Linked DNA regions of Coturnix japonica. The protein of the gene in region 2 purifies or fractionates together with the protein of the main gene of each other region. This does not show direct contact. Links are inferred from orthologs where the notes say so. Each region holds a gene or a part of one and is shown on either strand. Other genes may lie near its edges.

Evidence for each region.
Region 1: the proteins of PPIE (region 2) and AQR purify together in Homo sapiens (affinity purification with mass spectrometry; 5 studies listed by BioGRID and IntAct, counting the BioPlex papers as one, with this or other methods). This does not show direct contact. The link is inferred for Coturnix japonica from reciprocal best matches to the Homo sapiens genes PPIE and AQR.

The regions. Positions count from the first base shown.
Region 1 is NC_029520.1:29,052,516-29,056,326, forward strand, and holds part of AQR (RNA helicase aquarius), read left to right. Parts: intron 1-542; coding exon 543-663; intron 664-1,644; coding exon 1,645-1,786; intron 1,787-2,408; coding exon 2,409-2,587; intron 2,588-3,811.
Region 2 is NC_029538.1:4,803,418-4,807,848, forward strand, and holds the start of PPIE (peptidyl-prolyl cis-trans isomerase E), read right to left. Parts: upstream 3,111-4,431; 5' UTR 3,083-3,110; coding exon 2,858-3,082; intron 2,705-2,857; coding exon 2,606-2,704; intron 2,484-2,605; coding exon of another isoform or gene 2,440-2,483; intron 2,335-2,439; coding exon of another isoform or gene 2,308-2,334; intron 2,022-2,307; coding exon 1,940-2,021; intron 1,734-1,939; coding exon 1,633-1,733; intron 1,293-1,632; coding exon 1,169-1,292; intron 1,096-1,168; coding exon 910-1,095; intron 420-909; coding exon 277-419; intron 201-276; coding exon 132-200; 3' UTR 1-131. Other genes in the region: PABPC4 (polyadenylate-binding protein 4), read right to left, coding at 3,526-3,612, 3,700-3,830, 3,944-4,037, 4,158-4,285. UniProt on the Homo sapiens protein: Involved in pre-mRNA splicing as component of the spliceosome. Combines RNA-binding and PPIase activities.

The DNA.
Region 1 (3,811 bases), on a different chromosome or scaffold from region 2:
TCTCTTTTTAAAATATTCAATGTATAAAATTTACTGTAGTCATCTAATCTTTTTATATCTTTCATAAATTTTTTTTGTGATTACTTCTTCAAAAATTGTTAGCGTGGTTTTGTTAGATTTAGGTGGTAGTAATATGATGCTTATTGATACTATAGACAGATATTTGTCCAGTTTACTCTCTAGTAGTATTGGATGGGATTTTTTCACCCAAAGGGGTAATTAATATTAGCTATTACTGGATGACTAGTTACAATTAGTTTCTGAAATACAAGCAATGCAAAACAAAACAAATCAAACAAAAACAAAGAAGCGAACATTTCTCATCAGTTGAGAAACGAGATGATTCTTTGAATGACTGACAGCTGGAATATATGCTTACTCATCTTTCAGTATTATTATACAGACTTAGTTGTGTTTGATTGGAGGAAAAGAGGTTATTAAAACAGAGTGACCACCAGCATTCTTCTGGATTAATGCAAATGTTTTAAAGATAGCTTTATTTTCCTGTTTTGATTTACAGAAATTTCAAATGCATCCTTTAGGTTTCCCGTCATGAGCGACGAATATCTCAAATTCAGCAACTCAATCAGATGCCTCTGTATCCCACAGAGAAGATTATTTGGGATGAAAATATTGTTCCAACTGAATATTATTCTGGAGAAGGTATGATTAGCAGTTTAGTAAAGGCTGAAAGGAACAGTAAGTGCCCAAAAAGGCAACCTATGCTTATCCTGTCGTCAGAGTTCATGCAATCATATGGCATCTTTTAGCAAATAGAGTACTTAAAAATCTAAAAGTATGTGTTTACGTAAAGCTGCTTCTTTACTTATAGTCTGTAACAGATAAGCCATTCCCAGCAGTTGATATACCAATACAGGAGTCTCCTGGATATACATGCTGTGCCTGAATGTATCTGATCTTCTTATACGTATATTTTATATATCTATATGTATATATACACACACACACATATATGTATGTATTATATATCTATATTATATATGTCTGTGATATATATATATATATATAAATATATATATAAAATTTTTGAAAAAGTATATAAACATACACTAATGACTATATCATTTTGTTGCACCTGTTTCTGTGGTGTTCTGTAAATTATTAATAATCCTTTAAAGAGTTTTTATTAATGTAAAATGTAATGTGAAACGTAATTTTGGCAAGAAACAGAGATTGTTCACATTTGCTATCTGTACGTTGGTAGCACTTTTGAGAAGCACTTCTGTTACTGTGAGATGATTACAAATATTTTCTTGTTTTTCTTCTCTCAGTTTTAGTTTGTGTTTTCCGCTTTTAAGCTCAGTGTATTTTCCAGCATCATATTTCTTTTGTGTTCTTTAATACAGCTAAATTCTTCTGTCAAAAGGATGAAAATTATTTTAATTTTGTGCAGGTTCATCTAGAGAGAAATTGAAAATTTAGGGGAGGAAAGGATGAAAATATGTATTTGTTAGTACAGTATATCTACAAAAAGAGAAATTCTTGGAATCTCCTATAGTAAGAACTCCAGCAGTTATAGAATAATGTGTTTATGTATTTGTAGTTATGTAGAACTAAAATATTCATTTTCTTTTTTTTTTATTCATTAAATAACTTTTCTCTTCTGATCCTATCCTTCCTTAGGCTGTCTTGCACTTCCCAAACTGAATCTACAGTTTCTGACTCTGCACGATTACTTGCTAAGGAACTTCAATCTGTTTCGCTTAGAGTCAACTTATGAGATCAGACAGGACATTGAAGATAGCGTCAGTAGGATGAAACCATGGTAATATTTATTAAATGACCTGAACCAGTCAACTCAGCTTCAACTGTAAACAAAGTGCATTTGAGAATGAATAACTGATGTTGTCTATGTAGTAAATGCCCAGTAATGCATTTTAAATTATTATAAAATGCTGTGCTTTGTACTAACCTGTTCCCCATTCTGTCAGATGATGTCGCAAGAATAAGTTTGTATGTATACCTGTAGTCTTAACTTAAAGGACTTAATGCTAGAAGTTGGATATTAACAATGTGGTACATATTTTGATTCTGTTTAGATCTTAAGGGGATCATTTGGTGTGGTATCACTTATACCCAGTATTTGCTTTTTCTTATCCTACCTTTTTTCTCTCTCTGTCTTCAGTTTTATTAATAGCACTGGCATGTGATGTCTTGAAATATATTAAAAAAAAAATAAAAATCAGTTCATGTTATACAGTTTAAAAAAAAAAAATAAATACAGGGTTACATGAGTCCAATTCAGCAGCATGTAAAATGAAGACCCTTTTCTTTGAGTTGACTTTGGGGTGAATTGTTTCACACTTTAAAAGCCAAATCTGTTATTGGATAGCAACTAACAAAACTGATTTCTTGTATTTTGTTTGTTCGTGTTTTTTTTTTTTTAGGCTGTCAGAATATGGAGGAGTGGTCTTTGGTGGATGGGCTAGGATGGCACAGCCCATCGTGTCTTTCACAGTGGTAGAGGTTGCAAAGCCCAATATTGGTGAAAACTGGCCCATGCGAGTACGAGCAGATGTCACAATTAATTTGAATGTTAGAGATAGCATCAAAGATGAATGGGAAGGTACTTGTCCTATTCTGTAAACTAAGGTGGTCAAATAACTGCTCATCAAAATGTCCTTTGCACTGATTTTATTAATAAGAAAGGTTTTGTGACTGAGGTAGACTTACCTATCTTAGTATGCTTCAAAAGTGTGGTTTTGATTCTAAGAAATTTAGCCTTTTGTTTTTTAGATTTTGAAAGTGGCAGGGAATGTGATATCTCTCTAATAAAAACACAGTAAGCACTTATTTACTGTACAGATTGCAGAGCACTGTCTTTGTTTGCCTAGCTTGTTTGTGAAGTCTCCTCTATGGAGATCTTCAAAAGCCACTTGGACATGGTCCTGGGCAACCTGCTCTGGGTGGCCTTGCTTGAGCAGGGTAGTTGGACCGGGTAACTTACAGAGGCCCCTTCCAACCTCAGCCATTCTGTGAAAAATGAAGGGTACAGATCTTGAATTAAATCAAGTGTGTATGTTAGCAGTATTCAGTATATTTGAATGTATTTAAGGAGTGCTGAGTATACTAAATAATGTTTTTTCAAAGTATCTGCAAGTGACACTTTTTTGCTTGAGGAGCTGAACTTTACTTGACTGTGTTGGCAAGTGGCATAGTAGCATGTACTTGTATTTGGATTATCAGTAAATGTCACTTCATTTTTTTTTATTATTATTTTTTTTTTTAATAGAAAAATGTTAGTGAAATGTGCTGAAGCTGCACCATGTGATTACAGGTCACATAGCACAAATGCTGAGGCTGGAGCATGTAATAAACAAACAGATATGGAATATTTCCTTACTAGTAACGTTAGGATTATTATTGTCACGTGGAGGATGGAAGCAGACTTCACTATCTTGAGGGCAGTAAATGGCAGGTTTTAAAAATTTCTAGAAGTTTTGATTGAAGTAATCAGTTTTAATGACACTGAAGTGATCTTCAGCCTTAACTTAATTGAGCATCCAACTTGTTACGCGTGCCTGCAGAGCATTTAAAGAATTTGTATTGAACCTTGGGAAAGTCCCCAAAACTTGCAGTGTTTTAAAATAGCCTTCAATGTAAACAGGTTTCTCTGATAGTAACCTACCATTTTTTTTACTTGATGTCTTTGTATTTTCTGTTGTAAGAATGATAGAAACTATAGTTACTGTTATGTAATTATCTTGAAAATAGTCTTCTCATATGCTTTGATAAGGTTTATATTAAATAGCTAGCACTCCTTTACTGTTGATCTCTTGCTCTGTTTGGT
Region 2 (4,431 bases):
GTGGCAGACACTGGCAGCACCGGGCAGCGCACACACCATGTACCTGCAGCAGCCACCTGCCCGCTCACTGCACAGCACTGCTGCAGGCGTGGGGACCAACCCTTGCAGGGACAGCTGGGTCACTGCTGCAGTCACACACACTCCCCACAGTCGGAGATTATCACCTTCTGCTTTGGCTTCCCATCCTTGGTGCCCTGAGCCTGCAGAAGGGGAATGAAGGCTTAAAGATGGTGGTGGGGGGTGGGCACACACAGCCCCCCTCACCCCAGCACCAACCTCAATCTGCCGCACCACGTCCATGCCCTCTGTCACCTCCCCAAACACCACGTGCTTCCCGTCCAGCCAGTCGGTTTTATCACAAGTGATGAAGAACTGGGAGCCGTTGGTGTTCGGGCCGGCGTTGGCCATGGACAGCAACCCTGGGACCAAACAGGGCAGCATTACTGGGAGCAACGCCAATAATTAACTAACCCCCCCCCCCGGGCTGAGCAGACACTGCTGGCTTTAAGAGAGTCTCTGAATATTGGAACTGCGGGAAGTTGATGATGCCAAGAAACACCTCCGGGTATGAACAGAGTGAAGTGGTAGAGAGCATTAATCTATTTTTAACTGTAGCAACAGCAAAGCTTTGGAGATCAGCCTGCTTGCTTTCTGCCACCTTTCCAATGCTCACAGTTAGACTGCACTGCTCCTGCCATAAAGCCCAACAGAAAAGCAGCTTTGAAATTCTCCATGATATGAGACTGGAAATTAACAGCGTGGGGGTAGAAATAGGGGGCAGCATTTCTGCCCACTGAATGCTGTGGGCACACTGCAGTCTGCTCCAGGTGCTGCACCAACACAGACCGGCCCTGGGGCTGCTGCTGTGTGGTCAGAGCAGCTCGAGGTGCCCCACAAACCCCACCCTACCTGGTCCCGTGTGCTTCAGGATGAAGTTTTCATCATCAAACTTCTTCCCATAGATGGATTTTCCTCCGGTGCCGTTGTGGTTGGTGAAGTCCCCAGCCTGGCACATGAACTGGGGGATGATGCGGTGGAAGCTGCTCCCCTTGAAGCCAAAGCCTTTCTCCTGGGTGCAGAGGCAGCGGAAGTTTTCTGTTCAAGGCAAAGGGCAGAGGTGAGCACAGCACTGCAGCCTGTGGGCCACAGTGACAGCAGCGCTGCTCACCTACAGTCATGGGCACCACGTCGGAGCGCAGCAGGATCTTGAGCCGCCCTGCAGGTTTGTTGCCAATCTTGATGTCCATGTAAACTTGGGGGTTGGCCCGGGACTTCTTGGCAGGAGGCTCACCCTATGCGAGGAGAAGGTACACTATGCTGCCACTGCTCAGCTCTGCCACCCAATGGCCAGGCTGACCCCAGCCTGCAGCACAGTGCCAGCAGCAGATCCAGCTCCAGAAGTCCCTGGAGGCAGCATGAAGCAACAGGAGGCTTCTCACAGCCTGGGGGCTGCTGCAGGGTGCAGCTGAAACACACGGCTCCCTATGGGCTCACGGAGCTTTTGGGAGCACAGGGACTGACAGGGCCACAGCTCACTCCTGGCTCTCAAAGCTGACAGCACCCAGTTCCCCATGTGGCCATTCCCCATTCCAAGGCACTCAGCAGGACACAACCAGCTCCATCCATCCCTACCTCCTGTGTCTCTGGTTTGGGTGCCTCTGTTCCTCCTTCCTCTGCGTTCTCCTCCAGGGTCTTTCCTGAGAACCTCTTCAGCCACTCATCATCTGACCACACTGCAGCAAGGGAGGGCAGGATGAGAGCAGGGCGCTGAGCCCAGGGCCATACACGACTCTGGACTCAGCACAGCTCCAGAAGCAGCAGGACTGTAACCCAGGGTGCTGCTGGCCCAACCACCCCCAGAACTGCATGTGGTCACCCCACATCATGGGGACACAGGGACAGAGCCAGCAGCTCCCCCAGGTGAGGGGTACCAACTTACCCGGCCGAGACGATCCTTCTTTAATTCGCATTGGTTTGGCCAAGTTCACTCGAATCGTCCGACCAAAGAGCTCAGACTCATTCTACAGAGGACAAAAAAGCACAAAACCCACCACAAGGTAAAAACTCACTGTGTCCCCTCTGCAGAGAACGGGGCTGTTTTTTTTCTGAGCACTACACGCAGTTCAGGAGCTGCACTGAGCCACAGGCAGCACCAACAGCACCAGCAAAGCAGGGCCGGCATCACAGCTCCGGGATCAGCAGGTCTGCAGCGTCACCAGCACAGAAACACCAAGTGTCCGGGCAGGGCTGAGCCCCGGGGACAGGGCAGGGCAGGGCTCCAGGACTCTGTGATTGTGTGACTCGTACCATGTTGTCAATGGCCGCAGCCGCATCCTGCGTGAAGAGCGACAGGCTCCGTTACACACACGGCGCCCTCTGCCTCTAAAGGCCCCAATGCCCCAACGGGAGACACTCACACCCCGACCCCCACCCCCTCACCTCCGCCAGCTCGAACTCCACGAAGGCGAATCCGCGGTGCTTCTCTGCCAGCAAACAGCCCGGTCACAGCCCGGTCACAGCAGTTACAGCCCGGTCACAGCCCGGTTACACCGGTTACAGCCCGGTTACAGGCCGGTCACATCCCGGTCCCCGCCCCGCCACGCACCGGTCTCGTAGTCCAGCGGGATCTGGATGTCGGTGATGTCGCCGAACGGGATGAAGGCGGCGTGCAGCACCTTCTCGTCCACCTCCTCCGCCAGCCCGCCTGCGGCACACAGCGTTACGGACACACAGCGTTACGGACACACAGCGTTACGGACACACAGCGTTACGGACACACAGCGTTACGGACACACAGCATTATGGCCCACAACACCGTTACGGCCCCTCTCGCCTCCCCGCCGCCCGCCCCACTCACCCACGTACAGCACCCTCTTGGTGGCCGCCATCTTGCCGCCCCACCCCGGAAGTTCGGGCATATCCCGCCCTTCCGCCCAGCGCCGCCCCGGCAGCGCCCCCTGGCGGCGGGGAGGGACGAACCCCCGAACCAGCCCAAAGTGACAAAACTAAAGAGAAACGTGACAAACGCTGAGAAAGTTTTTATTCCTCCATTGCCAAACGATTTTCCAGAACTCTCCAACATGGGCCGTTAAAACCAAAACCACAAAATGCTTTTGTCAACCAGAAACCTTCAAAGTCCTGCATAGAAAAGACTTAAACTCTGCTCACAAAGGAAAAGCTCACAGACTCCATCCAGGCTTTGGGCAGCCAGAGTCGCTCGGTGAGATCCCAAGGGTTAATTACAAAATGCAATAGAACTACGTGATACGGCGCGTGGCATCGAGTCCTGCAGGGCTGCAGCCTCCTCCAGCCGCTGGCTGTGACAGGGGCTGTGACAGGGGCTGTGACAGGGGCTGTTTGGCTTCATTGCATCCTGCAGGGAAAGGAGGAAGATGTTCTGAAGAACTGGCTCCACTCAGACAAGCTCCCACACCAACAACGCCCAGTAACTGCCTGGTTTTATTTACCAAACCTGGAAGCTTTGAATTGAAGCTGAGCACTGAGACACTCACCTGCCCTCCTGGCTTAAGAGGTAGCAGCAACCACACCCACCTTCTGGGCAGCTTCTTTCTTGGCTTGGTGAGCCTGCAGCACTGCAACAGCCTCCTCCACCTGCGGGCAAGAAGATGAGCCAGTAAGAATTCTCTCCCAACCAAAGGGACACACAGTTTGGCCTACAAGGGAACGGGCCGGCTTTACCTTTGAGCGGAGGGACTCTGGAGACTCCAACATGTGCAGCAGCTCCGAGTTGTCAATCTCCAGCAGCATTCCTGTGATCTTCCCTGCAAGGCTGGGGTGCATAGCTTGAATAAGAGGGAACAAACGTTCTCCTAGAAAAAAAAAAAAGGATTTCAGACAGCAGTTTTAATTTAGAAGCTGTCAATGAAACCTCAGGACATTCCCAAAGTAAAATGCAATCTGGAAGAACCTGAGTTTCACTTACCCAGCATCTGTTTCTGCTCCTGGGGAGGGGCAGCAGCCAGCATGGAGGCTGTTAGTGGCTCCTGTCCCTGCACGTGTACTGCAGGCTGAGGTGCCTATAGAAGGGCAGACAGGAGGATGCAAAAATAGATGCTGTGCTGTTTCTGCAAAAACTCTTCAGCTGCATGTCAAACCTGTTGGCCTGCAGCTGCTTCAGGCACAGATCCTTGTGTTACCTGCAAAGGCTGTACAGGTGGGTGTGGGCTGCGGACACTTGAGGCATATTTATAAGGGGGAACTGCTCTGGGAGCAGGAGCAGCCACAGGTGGACGAGGAGCCAAGTTCTGTCCTGCAGTGGTAACACCTGCAAGAGAAGAGAGCAGGATCAAAACCACCATAGGAATGTGCAGCAAGTAACCTGAGGTATCTTAATTACTGCTAAATTCAAACTATGCTCTGCACAGGCCAATATTTGCTTAGGAACTGGTCTCCAAATTACAACTGGATATT